Tamandua tetradactyla: one gene and its partner. The protein of the gene in region 1 interacts with the protein of each later gene in a pairwise test. Links are inferred from orthologs where the notes say so. Each region holds a gene or a part of one and is shown on either strand. Other genes may lie near its edges. The genes, in order: AP2M1 and TGOLN2.

Evidence for each region.
Region 2: the proteins of AP2M1 (region 1) and TGOLN2 interact in a two-hybrid assay, tested with the Homo sapiens proteins (2 studies listed by BioGRID). The link is inferred for Tamandua tetradactyla from reciprocal best matches to the Homo sapiens genes AP2M1 and TGOLN2.

Annotation. Positions count from the first base shown.
Region 1 is NC_135336.1:2,440,915-2,449,506, forward strand, and holds the start of AP2M1 (AP-2 complex subunit mu), read left to right. Parts: upstream 1-5,281; 5' UTR 5,282-5,395; intron 5,396-7,328; 5' UTR 7,329-7,371; coding exon 7,372-7,445; intron 7,446-8,592. Other genes in the region: DVL3 (segment polarity protein dishevelled homolog DVL-3), read left to right, coding at 865-1,080, 1,169-1,605.
Region 2 is NC_135343.1:59,576,362-59,584,359, forward strand, and holds the start of TGOLN2 (trans-Golgi network integral membrane protein 2), read left to right. Parts: upstream 1-4,792; 5' UTR 4,793-4,857; coding exon 4,858-4,903; intron 4,904-5,144; coding exon 5,145-6,271; intron 6,272-7,457; coding exon 7,458-7,541; intron 7,542-7,998. UniProt on the Homo sapiens protein: May be involved in regulating membrane traffic to and from trans-Golgi network.

The DNA of each region.
Region 1 (8,592 bases):
CACAGAGGAGGCATCTAACTGGCCCTTTCCCATTCTATTCCCACACTCCCCAGCAGGACCCGGGGCCTTCCCTGAGGATCACTATGTAGGGAGGCTCTGAAAGGAGTTTAATGGGTATTTCTTTTCATCCTAGACAGTGGCACTGGAGTGGGGGGAAGGGAGGGGAGGGTCAACATTTCATTTAAATTTCCCCCAAACTGCCCCCTATTACCAACTAATGACCTCATCTGGAAAGGTAAGGAGAAGCTAAGCAACTTCTTAGCTTGAGTTGACCTATAGCCTTCACTTTTCTCCTCTGGAAAAATGTAAATGATACCTTCCTAATAAGGTGGCCATAGCCTTTGCATGAGATGAAGTGTTTTGTATCGTGCCTCAGGGATGGTAGGTATGCAATATCTGATTTCTCTCTAGATTCTCAGCCTTCCATATTCCCCCAACTTCTTACCTCTAAGTGAAGAGAAGAGAAAATGGCCAAATAAAGTTTTACTCCTTCTTCCAGTCCACTGAGCAGAGGACAATCTGCCAGAAACTTGGTAGGGGGGCTCCAAGGGATTGGAAGATGGGTGTCAGAATTTGGCACTGAGCATCTGAAATAGTGACTCAGGGCATTCCTGAGGAAGGTTTTCCCTGGGATTGTCTCTGCCAGGTCTCCCACCCCATGCCCCCAGCAGGTGGCAGAAGGGTCCAGAGGAGACATGAGATCTAGCAGCTCCCTCCTCCCATTCAGATCAGAAATTCCACTGCTGTTGGGCAGTTATCCAAAGCCAATCCACCCAACCTAGGCTGGGACCCCTTCTCTCCTAATCAAGATGTGTAGGGGCAAGGGATAGACCTAACTCACAGGCCTTCCCCTTGCCTCCACAGACATGGCTAACTTGTCCCTCCACGACCACGATGGCTCCAGTGGTGCCTCTGACCAGGACACACTGGCCCCTTTGCCACACCCCGGGGCTGCTCCTTGGCCCATGGCTTTCCCTTACCAGTATCCACCACCTCCCCACCCTTACAACCCCCACCCTGGCTTCCCAGAGCTGGGATACAGCTATGGCGGGGGCAGTGCCAGCAGCCAGCACAGTGAAGGTAAGGCAGAGGGGGGTGTGGAAGGGAGCTGCAGACGGGCTCCCAGCTCGCTCTACAGGATTTCAGCATCCCTACCCGGCCCCTGCAGGCAGCCGGAGCAGCGGCTCCAACCGCAGTGGCAGCGACCGGCGGAAAGAGAAGGACCCAAAGGCTGGGGACTCGAAGTCAGGCGGCAGTGGCAGCGAGTCAGACCACACAACACGCAGCAGCCTGCGGGGACCGCGGGAGCGGGCTCCTAGCGAGCGCTCGGGCCCGGCAGCCAGTGAGCACAGCCACCGCAGCCACCACTCGCTGGCCAGCAGCCTCCGCAGCCACCACACGCACCCAAGCTATGGGCCTCCTGGTGTGCCCCCACTCTACGGCCCCCCAATGCTGATGATGCCCCCACCGCCCGCAGCCCTGGGGCCCCCAGGGGCCCCCCCGGGCCGTGACCTGGCCTCAGTGCCCCCAGAACTGACCGCCAGCAGACAGTCCTTCCGCATGGCCATGGGAAACCCCAGTGAGTTCTTTGTGGATGTGATGTGAGCAGGGCCCCTCACCCACTGCCAGCCTTTCCCACCCTGCCAGCTGCGTCCCTCTCTCCATCCGTCCATCTTTTTTACTTTGGTACCTGAAAGGGAAATAAACGGAACTAAATCCAGACACCCTAACTGCTTATGGGGTGCTGGGAGGGTAGAGTATACCCACCAATTGGCTCTGCAGCCCCTAACCTGCCTTTGGCCGGGCTTCTGCCCCCTACCCACTAACCTCTAGACCGGACTTCCCAAGATACTTCATTTCTCTGGCCTGCAGGTGATTAGACATGCTGTTGCTGCTGTTCACACCTTACCCTCCACACACACTTTAGGAGCTGACCCCAGCAGAGTCCCGGGATCCCTGCTCACCCCACCCCATTCTTTCCTTTTCCCCCTCAGGTCCTTTTCACCGTTCATTCAGCTACACCAGCTCCCTGTTAACCCACCTTCTCAAGCATGTGTGCAAATCTCTTGACTTTGCCCCAGAATGCTGCCACCCAACTACCACACACAAAAAAATTTTTTTCACTTCATCTGCTGCCCCTAACTTTTCCCTGCCTGCTGCCTCAGCCCTGCACTCTAGAGCTATAGTCACCTCCAGTAACCACCCATGCTGTCCCTGCCTGTGCTCAGCCCTGACCAGAAGCCCAGAGGGTCCCTCAGTTGCTTGAGCTGCTATTACATTCCAGCGAGCATCTCTTCTCAATTTCCCTCCACTCCCCGCCGTGCCTGGCCTGCGTGCTGGCTCCTTCAGACTCCTAACATTACTAACAAACAGGCTCGTCTCACCTCTGGGCCTGAAATATTTCTTTTCTTTGTTTTTTCCTTCCCCAATTTTTCCTGGGCCTGGAGCAGCCAAGAATTTCGGGCTGTTTGACTTTCTGTGAGTCGACAGCGAGGGCCTCCGAGGAGACCAGGAGCCCTACTTCAACAGCCCCTCAGGGCTCCCCAAGGATGTCCAGCCCCCACACCCACACTTTCAGCCTATTGAGTCACTAGGCTTCTTTGGGAGGGCCCCAGCCTCTCACCAATCACCTTTCCAAAGTGAATGTTCTCTCTCTCTCATTCTCTCTACTTCTCTTTTTCTTTCACACACACACACCGCACAAGGTGGCTATACAAGTTTGCTTAATCTCAGGGCTGGTCCCTGCTCAGAGGACTGAACCCCTCTTTTCCAGTTCTTTCCCAGGTTGTGGGGCCGGTTCCCTGACTTCCCTCTCCCCTCATCATAGTTGTAAAGCTTCCCACACTCATCCTCTCATCGTCCTACCTGGATAAGGCCCATAAGCTGGCTCTAAGTGGGCTCAGCAGAGGACTCCCCAAGCAACCGACAAAGGCCATTGTCACCACTACCACTCTGCCCCCACCATACACACACGCTTCCTTGTTTCCACATTAACCATGACCCCAGAGCAAGGACACAGGAACACATGAGACAGTTGAAGTTGGACAGGGGAACTTTTGGGACTTCTAGACAGTGCCAAGTTTTCTTGTATTACTTTAGTCTCTCCTTTAAACAAATCATAACTTCTTTTTAAGTCTCTGCCATAAAATCTCCTGGCTCACCTACACTCACCTAGGTCGGAATGTTAAGAGTGAGGTGAAGTCCTTCGTGCCAGGCTTTGGGGCAAACCAAGGTAGGAGCGTTTTGGCATTCATTCATTGAACAAATACTTCCTAGAGTTTTGGTGAACAGAGGGCTGTGCTGGAAGTGTGCTCAGTCTTCCCTGCCCTCTGGGAGCTCTGGGTTTGCTCCTATCCAGGGCTATGGCTTCCTCTAGCCACACTACAGGGCTGTCTCCTGTACTTCTCTTCCCTTTCTGACTCTGCCTTGTTCAACTCTCTTGAGAATTCCTCCACTACTACACAGGTCTTTAGTATCGGTGCCCCCCCTCCCCAAGTTCCTTCTTTGGTCTATTTCTCTTTCCTTTCTACTTATTCCCAAAATGGTCATTGATTGTCCTGTCCTCAATTGCCACTGATATGCTGGTGGTTCCCATATCTGTCCAGCCCCAACTTCCCCACTAAACTTTAGATCTGTATTCTTATTATCCACTGGACTCTATGGACATATCCATGTGGACTCAAGTCATCATCTTCCCCACCAAGTATGTTCTTGAATTCTATCCTGGTTATCTTTACCACATCTACAAAAGCTCATAAACTAGAACATTTATGGGCTATAATTCCTTCATCCCATATTTTACCAGTCAGCATATCATATCCACTCTATTCCAGCAATCTCTATTGAATTTGGCCCTTCCTCTCCCCTCTGCCTCTACTTTAGTGCACTGAGTATGGGATTTGGAGTCAGATCATTCTGGGTTTGAATACCAGCTCTACTACTTTTCAGTCATCCCCTTCTAGGAGAATCATTTAATCTTTCTGAGCCTCAGTTCCCTCATATGTAAAATGACGATAATAATACCTACCTCACAGGGTTGTTGTGAGGATTTAAATTAGATATTGTACGAAAAGTGCCTAGCACAGTGCCAGGCACGTAGTAGAGTAGGTGCTCAATAAATGGTAGCTATTATTATTACTGTTGTTATTGTTACTATTATTGACTGAGTTGGCAGGAGTTTAAGAGATATGTGTGGAAGATAAAGCTTTTGGAAAGGTGGGACAGAAGCCTTGAGTGCTGGTTCAAGCTTCAGAAGTGCCTGTATTCACTTATTTAGTGATATCAGGCTGTGATTATGGTTTGAGGGAGGCCAGATCATCCTGCCACATTCTAGCTTCCGGCAGGAGGATGCTAGGGATGGTAGGGTTTGCGACCAGGTTTCTTTTCTTGCCCTTCCTTCCTCCCAGGACAGGCTCAGCCCTGCCCAGGGAAGGCAGGATGCCATCTCTGTCAGATGAAGAAGAGCCAGCAGATTTCAGTCAGGTCCTGCAAAGGCCAGGCAGGCATTTCCTGTTTGAGGATTGGCTTTGTCTCCTCTCAGCTTGGATGTGAAGATTAACTGTCCATCAAAGAGAGGATTTCAAATCCCATGCCCAGTTGAAGTCAACTCACCATATCTCTGAGCAATATATATTTCTGTAACTAGAAGGCATACAGGTCCTGGCCTTGAGGAGCTCAATCATATAGACATAGCTGAGATAGAACATAGACTTATCCATGAAAAGCTCAGCTTGTTTCTTCCAAGTATTTGCCCCCACTCTCCTTGCGGGTCTTGATTCCTGGAAAAAGGTACGTTATTGGACCAAATATATGATGAAAAAGCTTAGGAAATCAGATTCGATTGCCTATTAGAAAGCGGTAAACTTCAGCACCCACTCTTTACAGCCAAATCGTATGTTTGTGTGTAAAGTAAGGACTGCCAATCCTCGGACTCCGGAGACTGAAAAGGCCTACAATAGAGTGCTTAACAGATGGGCTTCAATCAAGCGGCATTAATCCTCTAAGCCGCTCCAAAACAGGGGTAAAAGCAGAGACTACAATTCCCAGAATGCCTAGTGGGGAAAATAGGGTGGGCGGGGCGGCGTACGCGGGGATGTGTATTTCGGACGGGATGGAATAAAGGCTACGCCCAAAGGGCGGGGCGCGTTCCCGAAGGCTGTCGGTAGTTGTAGTTTTCCTAAACTTAGACCTCTCACAACTTAAGCGAGAAGGCCGAGGGGTCTGACGGGACTTGTAGTCTTGGCAGAGGACGAACGCGCACGCGCAGCAGAGGTCGGGGCGGGGCCGCGGCACTGCGGTGAAAGCCGAGGCAGCGGGCTGGCGAGCAGGGGGCGGGCGGACATCTTGGGATCGCTGGAGTGGCCCGGCCGGCCGAGCGGGGGGCCGCAGACACCAGGTGAGAGCGGGATCTGGCTTTGAGGGGTGGAGAAAAGCGCCGCGGGTCGCCTATCCAGCCGCCCAGCTTTGCCCTTGCCTGCACGGCGCTACGCGGAAAGCTGCCCACACCCAGGAGTGGCCTCAGCCCTCGGATCCGGGAGGGAGCTGACGGCGAGACTCGGGCGCCCCGGGCGCGGTTGCGGGATGGTCAGGGAGCGTCCACCTGACCTGCCTGGCGCTTCGTGGGAGAGGGAAAAGCACTAGAATCTTCCCAGAGCAAGGACACCGCGCGGCTCCCCCCTCCCCAAGATCGTGACAAACCTTCTACCCCTCGGCGCCTCCTCCTCTCGGCGCAAGGACGTTTCTCCCATCTCCTAGGACAGTGACACCCCCCGATCCACCTCCGTGAACTGTGACAAGTCTCCCAGCCCCGGCACCCCCCTCCTCCCAGGGTCTCAGTCCTCTGACACAGCCCGCACCCCGCTGCACCATCTTTTCCCGCGGCGGTCCCTGTCCACTGGGCGGAAAGCCCACTACCCTCTTACGCCTCTGCACCCAAACCGCAGAGCAGACTCCGTCTCCCCAGCTTTCTTTTATTCACTGTTGTCAATCTGTCCATACCGGGTTTTCCTCCTCAGCCCCACCTTTTCCAGACTAGAAACTCTTTCCTCTAGGCGCCTTCGTAGCTCTACTTCCCGCTGTATGGGTTCACCTGAGTATGCCGCCTGGCTGTGGCTGCTGGTCTTCTCCCTTGGCTAAATATTCCATTCCTGTCCTGGGCCCCAACTCTGCTGCTCTGGTGCCCTGGAGCTACCTACCACTTGATACCTGTGAACTTCGTTCTTTGCCGAGGACTCTCCCTCCATTTTGCATTTCCTTTTCCAGCTTCTTTGGGACTGCGGGCTGGGATGTGTCCACCACCCTGAGAGACTTCTCACTAGTCTGGTAGACCTTGATGGCCACAGTAAAAGTCTACTTTCCAGTTTAGAAAAGCCTGCTAAACTCTCCCCTATGAAATTAATACCAGGGCTAACCTAGGAAATCTAGAACCAAATTAACTCTTTTTCTCCTCTCAAACTGTCTAAATTAGTTTGACCCAAATAATTTGGGTAATTCAAGAATATCTGACATCCTTGCCCCTTTCTTATGGGCACTCAGACTAGAAGTGAGTTAATTGGTGGGTCTGAATAACAGAAATTCAGATGGGAAAATCAACCTCCAACCCATCCCCTGGATTTAAGAGGGAACCTCTCATTTTGAAAATAACTGTGGTAAGCAAAGCTTGGGTCACTGAAGTATAGTCTGTCTGTCAGGGCGGGGGCTCTTTTGCCTGCTTATCTGACTGCCTGGGAGAAGTTGGGGCCACACACTTAGGTCCATGTCAGGGCCTGAAGCCTCCCTTCTCTCTTCCTCCCTCACCCTGCACACCCTTTCCTGGAATGTGTAAGCCTGTGGAATTAGAGAGCTGGCAGTTCTGGCCCTGCTGCCTTCTTAGAAGGGTAGTAGATCCTGAGAGCTCCTAAGGCTGTGCCTGGGGGCCCCATGCCTGAACCAGCTGGAGTAATTCCTACCGCCATTCCTCCAGCCGCAGTGACTCACTAACTGGAGCCTGAATGAGAATCTGCACAGGAGGGGGCCAAAAAGGAGCCTCTCTGAGCTCAGTGATGTGAAGAGGGGGAGGGGGCCACCGTCTGGGCTCAGCCCCAGAAAAAGGAGGGTCAAAATGGCCTAGATCCTAGGCCCAAGTCCCTCGCAGTCTTTTTCGTCCTTCCAGTGTGGAATAAACAGGAACTGGAGCCTGGCTGAAGGGAGGGGCATGCCTGGAAGGGCTGCAGGATCACTTGCTCAAGGATTGAGTCAGGAAAAAAGCCCCACCAGTGACCTGCACCACCCTACAGGGAATGTTGCAGGGGTTCTTAGACCTTCCTTTACCCTGTCCCTTCCTGTCCTAGGCCTGTTCTAAGAGCAATGGACTGTGGAGACTGAGCTGCCGCCATGATTGGAGGGTTATTCATCTATAATCACAAGGGGGAGGTGCTCATCTCCCGGGTCTACCGAGATGACATCGGGTGAGTCCTCTGGCTGAGCCATCTATGCCCCTACTACCCCTGCCCCTCTCCTCAGCATGCAAGACTAGGTTTATTCCTAGCAGAGGCTTGACTTGTACCACCCTCGCCCCTTGCTGCATCCTGGAAGCTCAGCTAGTACAAGTTGATTCCCATTAGGTGTGCTGGCCTGGCACCCAGCTTGCAGGCTGCTAGGTGAGACTTGTAGAATCGTGTAACTGCCTCAGGCTTAGGACTCCTACCCTTCATGCTTCCTTGTTTCTCTTAGTGACAGACCTGGTTGCTGGAGGAAATGAATGCTTTTTCCCAGGCAGGTTGATTCCTCCTCTGAGTGGAATTAGTGGCCAGGCTGCAAGTCCTAATCCAACTAAGTCTTGTTCTCAAAAGCCCTTTTCACATTTCACGGTGGGAGCCTTCACTGGATTCTCTCAAAAACCTCCCCAGGCTGCCAAATCCTCCCCACCCCCCCTTTCTCAGAAGTAGCCAGGCTGCTGATTCAGCCATTTTCAGTTCCTCTAGGCCATTCCTAGAGGAGAGGTCCTGAGCAAGCCTGAAGCAAACCACAGTCACTGAGGGAAAAACAGGAAGGCCTTGCTCCCTTTCTGGCCTATATGAAGCAGACCCAGAACAGTTCTTTGTCATGAGTCCCTGAGACTACAACAAGGAACCAGAGCCTCACCTCTCATTCTGCCGCAACCTACTCACCACTGTTCTTTTCTGAATGAGGGGTCATAGCCTAGCCTCAGCAGCTCTAATGAAGCTAGGCTTTTCTGGTTCCTCCTGCCGTTTTCCTCCCTCAAAAAGCTCGGGATAAGCAGTGACAGAATGGATATGTTACAGAGCCCCTAGCTCCTTGGTTTCCCAGCTGACAGGCTGACTTGGCCATGGTGGCTGTTTGTCCATTGGCTGGTGGTGGGGCATGAGCTGGAGTTGGGGCAATGCCTGACCTGCCCAAGTCTGGTTGGCTACACCCACCCATCCCACCTGCCTTGTACGGATCCAGTTAAGCCAAGGCCAGGGCACACACCACCTTGCATGCCTTGCTGGGCTCTATCCCCTTGCCTGTCACTTGTCTGCTTCTACCTCATGGTGTGTTCCACTCACCCCAGTGTGTTGTGTCTAACCCTCTCTCTCGTTACTGTCACTCTCC
Region 2 (7,998 bases), on another chromosome or scaffold:
TTAACACCTTTCACCTGACTAGTTACTTTATCTCTCAGACAAGCTTAATTCCATCCCTGCCTGGGGCAGTGCTAGAACCTGAGAGTGCTTCCAGTTCTGTCTAATGAGCTGTTTAAGAAGTAAAAAAAAAACACAAGTCTTTTTAGAGCTGCTCCCCACCCACCCCCATCACCACTCCTCAGGTTTGTCAATCAAGAGTGTGAGTTGGTACATTGCTCTGGGGATCTCCAAGCTCTCTATGGCCCCTTTTCTTGGGGTCCAGCCCTTTCCCAGTATTTTGTGCTATCCAACTCAAAAAATGTCTAGTTTTTTTTTTTTTGTTTTTGTTTTTTTTTATCAGCCCTTCCCTTCTCTACTTGGCAAAAATTCCTTTTTCCTTTAGTCCTTATTCCAGGTTTATCTGTGTGGGAACCTGTTTTCAGTAGTCAAAATTTTAAAATTATTTCCACAATTGGAGCATGATTGAGCTAAGCCCTTGTTGCTAGTAAAGTCTGTTTCCTTTCCCTTTGGGGAACCAGCCTGCTCTGCCCATGGGGGAGGGATCCCGGCGTCCGCAGCTTAGGGAACTTACAGTTCTGCATGGGCTCTCAGCCACTCCACCTGGTCCAGAATGGTGTATGCTGTGTGTCTGGTCACTGATGTTCCCCCAGCAGTTATTCTGTACCATTCCTGGCTATTTACTATCTGCTCTGGAAGACCAACTAAATTCCACACCTCACTGTGCTGCCATCTTGCCCTGCCCTCCTACCCAATCTAATTACCTGTCCACAGATCTTAAGGTCAACCCCTTGTCCGCTGTTAACCACCCTAGACCTCAGCCCCTCATCTCTGGTGCATTGTTCATCAGTCATCTTATCTCTTCGGTAACCTTGATCACTCTTACAGGAAAGAATGAGTTCTTCCCTTAACTCTTTAAATAACTGCAACCCTCTCCCATATTAGAAACCATGTTTCACATCCAAACTTCCAGCAAAAGTAATTTCCATTCACTGCAACCAGGTTTTGCTTTCATGACTCTATTAAAATTCCTACTTCTAGGTCCTTATCCTATTTCAACCTTTTGCTGTATGTGATACTATTGATTTCACTTTCCTTTTAGAAACATTTTAATGACAACTGGGAACCCCTTGAAGTATATTGAGAAAAGAATCAGTGGAAAACAAGGAGGCGATAGCATCCCAGAAGACAAGTGACACGACTAGTAGCACTAAATGCCACACCACAAAGAGGCCCACAAACTAAGAATTGTACATATGGCTTTGTAACTTGTTTTACTTTCAATTAATCAAACATATGCACATATATGACTAAATAAAAGGAAGAACCATCAAAATATTTTTATAATAGTTATTTCTGGATTACAGGATTATTTTATTTTCTTACTGTGGCTTATCTTTATTAATCTTTATATATTGAATGTATTAATAACTATTATTATCATTTTGGAGCTCTAATCACATGCTAGACACCATGTTATATTCCATGCTTTACATGAATTCTCTCATTCTCAGAATATTTTAATCTCCATCTCATAATAAAGCTGATACTTTCAGCAATTAAGTAAATTGCCCAAAGTCATGGGAATCACTTGTGCAATAAATATTAAAGTACAACAGAAAGGGTTTTTTTTTTCCTATCAAATTGTTAGGTGAAATAATAGAGTGATCTTGAGCAAATTGCTTTATCTTTTCTGTGTCTGTCTCATTTTATAAAGCACCTACTGTATTAAACTTAATAAACAGTAGTTACAGTAGAAAATTAAGAATAATCCAGATGTTTAATAATAAGGGAATTGTCACAACAATTATGATTAACTCATAAATGATTCTTTGTGAAACCATTAGCAAATCGTGTTTTTGAGCAATGTTTAACTTGCTTAGGAAATGGCTCCTACATTTCCCTTTGAACTCCATGCCCAGATTTCCAACTCCCTAACCTCCATTGGATTGCCTCAGAGGCATAAGACACAGAGTCCAAAGCAAATTTATTTCTTGTGCCCCATCTCCAGCAATCCTGATCATCTTACCGTCATCCCCCCATGTCCAATCTTTGTGGTGTCTCCTCCCAGATTAATCTTGAATGGGACCCCTTCTCTCCATCCCCAAGCTAGTCCTACTTGGACTAGTACAGGAGTTCCCTAACTGGTTAACTCCTAAATTAACTCTTTCCTTCCCTCAAAAGGTTTGTCATGTTGCAAACAGAGAATTTTTCAAAAATCCCCAGCTTTGATGATCTTTTTCCTCTGCTTAAACCTCTTCAATCCTTTTCATTGCTGTTAAGACAAAACACAAAACCCTGAGGATGGCCAACAAGTTCTGCAGGATCCGGATTTCTCTTTCCTCCCTTGCCAAGTACTTCTAAACCCCATTTCAAACTTAATAATTTGCTTCCCTACCAAATCAGTATCCTTTAACATTAATCCAATGTTTGTTTAGGGAAGGTAGGGAGAATTTCCTTTTATTAGTTAAAATTATATAAAGAGACATGCAATTTTGTGCATGTAACTTACACCACCAAATTGTATATTCAAAAAGGTTAAAAAAAAAAAGGGAGAAATATTAGGTTTTGTATGTCACCACACACATGCAAGCACACAAACCCTTGTGTCATGGTCAGGTTCATGTGTCAACTTGACTAAGTGGTGGTACCTGTTTGTCTGGCTGGGCAAGTGCTGGCCTGTCTGTTGCAATGAGGACATTTCATAGAATTAAATCATGATCACGTCAGCTGCAGCCACAGCTGATTCCATTTGTAATCAGCTGAGGGGAGTGTCTTCCACAATGAGTGAGGCTTAATCTAATCACTGGAGGTCTTTTAAGGAGGGTTCAGAAGAGACAGACTCTCTTCCTGCTTCAGCTGGTGAGCCTCTCCTGTAGAGTTCGTCCAGACCCTCCATCGGAATTGTTGGCTTCACAACCTGCCCTGCGGATTTTGGACTTTACGTTCCCACGGTCACATGAGACTCTTTTGTAAATTTTATATTTGCGAGTGTTCGTATCGATTCTGTTTCTCTAGAGAATCCTAACTAATACACCATGGAACTGTACAACACAATGTAAACAGTGTGCTAAAGTTAACAGCATAATTATAATAATATTGTTTCATGAATTGTAACAAATTTACCACACTGATGCAAAATGTTAATAAGGAAAACTGGGTGTGTGAGAGATGGAGTATACAGGAACTTGGTACTTCCTGCATGATATTTCTGTAAACCTACAATTGTTCTTATATATATATATATATATATATATATATATATATATATAAATTAAGTATATACAGAAACAAATTCAGCTACCAATTCACTTTCTTTAGCCAAAGCAGTACAGTCCTTGTTCCTTAAAATTAGATTTATGCCACGTATTATTCCTTGAAATTATAAAGAATTTGGACTAGAAACTGCATGTCAACAAACTAAATATTGTACTTCACAGATTCCAGGGGAATATTACTTCCCCTGGCAGCTGCAGTCCTTTTGGCAGGAGTGGGGCTTGGTCACATTTCAGCCCCTTAGCTAGCATGACATTTTCTGTTAATCCAGCCTTACTTTTTGTGCCCCCTAGAGATTTTTGTTCAGGACAACTCCCAGTTCATTGACTCCCAGCCTCTTTCTCAGGCTGGATTAACCTTTAGATTTAGGCAAAATGCCAGGTCCCACCTGCTTCAGGCTTTCCCACTTACTGACAGCCAGGGAAGCTCCTCCTCCCTTCTTTTTCCCCAAGGAAAGCCTACATTCTTTGGCGCTCAGCACCAAGGAGCCGTTCTCAACAGGTCTCATGGGCTTCTGTACCTTTCTTCCTTGACATCTATTGGGGTGCACACACATTTGTACAGATACGCCTTGATTAATATTTCTATGTTACACTAGATTCGTGCAGTTAGGCCCTGTCACTGTTTTAATAGCCACAGTCTACCAAGGGCCCAGCTTGGCAACTGTTCATAAAAGATTTTTAGTCAATGTTTAATGAATAAACATAACACTAACTGTAAATAGTGGAAACAAAAGTATTTACCCAATGTTCTCAATTTAGGAAGATAATGAATATGCATAAGAAAGATATAAAGAAAATATGCAAATTAAGGAAGGGAAAATAAGTACATTTGTATTTAATTAAACAAAACAAAACACTAGATGGAAACACACTAAATTGATAAAAGCCCCTGGCAGGGATTTTTTTAAATCCCGTTTTGATTTTTGGACCATCAAAAGTATTATCTAATAGAAAACACTAAATTTTTGCCAAACAAAATAATACTCAACAGCGATTATCGCCAAGGTTGGGACTAAGGTTTTACTTCTTACTTCTATACTTTCACTAAACTTTCGACCTTGAACATGAATAACTTTTTTTTCCTTTTCTTTTTGGTGCATGGTCTCCCGCACGGAGGGCGAGCATTCTACCACGGAACCACCCGTGCACCCGAACACGAATAACTTTTACGATTTGAAAAAAGATGTTTTTTTTAGAGAAGGGCTTGGGCAACCTGGGAGGAAATTGTTTCGGCGAGGTGGGAGAGTGGCGGGGCAAGGAGGACCCGGGGCGGAGGAATGGGAGAGTAGGATCCGGGGCCCCGAAGGGCAGGGCGGGAACAAGGGTGCTGTAAGGGAGGATGTTAACAAGGTTCGGAGCGCGGGAGGGGAAGGCGGGGCCGACGTGGAAAAGGCGATAGGGTCCTCCGCAGGGGCCGCGCAGCGCCGCCGCCGGGCAGCCCCGCCCCCATACCAGAGAGCCAATGGATGGGCTCCAGGAGGTAGGACGGACGGGGAGGTGGTGGGACCACGGGCCCGCGCACGAGAATCCCGCACGCGCATCTCGCGAGAGTGGTTGAGGGCGGAAGCACGGCTCATGCAGGATGCGGTTCCTGGTTGCATTGGTTCTGCTGAGCGTCGCGGCCGGGGGTAAGACCCCCGCTTCTCAGATGTCACTCTCGCCCTCAGACCCACCGTACTTACCTCGGCCCCTCACCTTCTGGGCTCTCTTCTTCCCTTCCCGACCCACCCCTGCACGCGCCATCGTCCTACTCCTCCCCACCCCCACCCCGGTCCTACCGTTGTTTCCCCCGCCCCGGTCTCTTCCAGCCCTAAAGGGCTTCTTCTCCCGGCGTGACTCGCCAGGACCAACAAACGCCTTGTATTTCAGGAGCTGAACGGAACTCGTCCAGCTCAACGACAGTTGCCGATAATCTCGACCACCGTCCTGAAGAACCAAAGGCTGAGAGTCAGTCTTCTGGAGGAAGAAACCCAAGCGAGAACACCGTGAGCCAGCCGAACTCCAGTGGAGGCAGTTCGTACTCCGTAAATGCGTCCTGCGTAGAAGGCTCTAACAATACGGACCTTAGAAAACCGTCCCTCAGAGTAGACTCCAGCAGTTCGAACCCGGAAAAAACGTCCTCCAAAAAAGGTTCTAGCAATCCGGGCCTGAGAAAGCTGTCCCCCGAAGAAGGCTCCAGCAGTTCGAACCCGGAAAAAACGTCCTCCAAAAAAGGTTCTAGCAATCCGGACCTGAGAAAGCTGTCCCCCGAAGAAGGCTCCAGCAGTTCGAACCCGGAAAAAACGTCCTCCAAAAAAGGTTCTAGCAATCCGGACCCGAGAAAGCCGTCCCCCGAAGGAGGCTCCAGCAGTTCGAACCTGGGAGAACAGTCCCCGAAACAAGGCTCCAACAGTTCGGACGTGGGAAAACAGTCCCCTAATAAAGGCTCTGGCAGTTCGGACCCGGAAACACAGTCCCCCAGTGAAGGCTCCAGCAGTTCGAACCCTGGAAAAGAGTCCCCCCCAAAAGGCTCTAACAGTCCGGACCTAGGACAACAGCTGTCCACGAACGAAAGCTCTAGCAAGCTCGGGTCCAAAGGATTATCTAATGGCGAGGATGCTGACTTGGAGAGGAAAGCTGACAATAGAGAGCTTGTCATACCTGTTTCTAAGACAGAATCTGGGGAGAAAGTATCAACAGACAGTGACCGCACTTCTCCCCGGCAGGAGGGAGAAGATAAGTCTTTAGCTCCTACTGAAGATCTCCAGCCCAAGGAGCCTGAAGAAGGCAATACAGAGCCTGAAGAGGATTTACCACCCAAAGAGATGTCAGGCCCTGCCCCCAGTGAGAACCAAGAAGGTCCGCTTTTGAATTCCGTGAATAGCAGGGAATCCAGTGTCCTTTATAAGGGCAGTCCTGGAAGTGCTAGTGCAGAGAGCAGCCACTTTTTTGCGTATCTGGTGACCGCAGCCGTTCTTGTTGCTGTCCTCTATATTGCTTATCACAACAAGCGAAAGGTAAGTCAAGAGTTGCCTTAGAGAGGGGAGATCTTGGTGTATGGGTCAGCAGCCCCTCCTTAGCCCAGAAGCACTGGAGATTTTAAGACAAACCATTTTTTTCTTCAAACCCTGCTAGGGTCCTTGACGCCTGTTTTATAAATCATTTGTTGCCTATATCATCTATTACCGATTTCCTCTGAGTGGCCTCTGCTGCTGCATTAGGTGCCAAATTGGGATGTTAAGATCTGACCTGAAGTGAGTCCCCCCGCCCATAATCTTGAACTAAGACCCATGACTAGGTTCAGAGGAGCTGAGTACCTGCCGGTTTATAAGTACTTAGAGCATCTGTCTCCCCTTGCTTCTGCTTTTGAGATGTGTGCGTCACGTCTGGCTTCCTTTCTCAAGCTTCTGTCTTCCTTGCACAGTGGCAAAAAGAATGTCTGTAGTGGCAGATAGTCTTACATGTCAACAGCAAGGAGCCCAGGGACTACAGTCAGTGGGGTTTTTGATCTTTAAACAGAAGCCCAGAAATTGCACTTCTTTTGCAGGGTTTGGTGTGAAGTGATATTAGTATCCCTCTGCAAACACTTCAGTGACTAAAGAATCACATTTCCTGTTGAGCCCCAGGAATTTAGAAGACCATCAGACCATGGTTGTAAGGGATGAAAGAAGGCTTTTAGTAAAATTGTGCATCCCTTACTCTACAGCCAAGATTCCTTTGAGGGAAATAGCCTTTGGAGTGGAAAGAGGGAGGGAAAGTTACAGAGTGCAATTGAAGAAGCAAAATGTGGGGTGAAAGTATGTTTGCAGTTGTGAAATAATAATTATTATGATTAAAAAGTAAAAAGGGAGTGCCCTAGCCTGGAAAATTCAGCCTCTGGATCTCTTTGGGGAGGGATTGGCAGACCTGTCAGCTCACTAGTAATATTTGATCAAGTGCTGGTGAGTCAACTCCCACAAGCTAGAGCCCAGAGGAGCTTTCCCGCAATTGTTTTCTGTTGAGGAGTATAAAGGATTCTGATGTAACTGGGTCCTGTCCTACTAAAATCATTAGGATTTAATTAGGATTCTTTGTGGGTATAATGTTCTTTCTACAGTCACGGTCATTAAAAATGTAGTACCAGGATAACTGCCTCTGATTTCAGACCCTGGAACATATCATTACAGAGCCCCCTGCTAATCCTTTCCTTTTTCCTTTCCCCAGATTATTGCTTTTGTCCTGGAAGGAAAAAGATCCAAAGTCGCACGGCGGCCAAAGGCCAGTGACTACCAGCGTTTGGACCAGAAGGTAAGGAAGGAAGAGCCACGTTCACAGAAGTGATTAGCAACCTCAGGTGGGCCCAGAAGCAGGCTTGCACTTAAAAATAGGAGGAATTGGATCTCTGGAGCTGCTGGACAGTGGAGGCATTGAGGTATATGTACCAACCAGGTAGCAGCTAGAAGAGACCTTCAGGTATACCACTTCACTTCCCTCCCTTGACAGATGAGGAAACTGAGGCCCAGCAACATTTTTTTTTCCTCAGTTCCCAGTACAAGTTAGTGGCAAAATGAGGATGTGATAGCAACTCTCTAGATTCCTAAATCCTGTGCGTTTTGCACTATACTAGCACTTTGCACATTTTAGTAGGCATACAAATCATCTTGGAATCTTTTTTTTTATTGTGGAATATAACATAAACAAAAAAAGCAATAAATTTCCAAGTACATTTTAACAAGCAGTTTTAGAACAGATGTTAAAGTTTGTT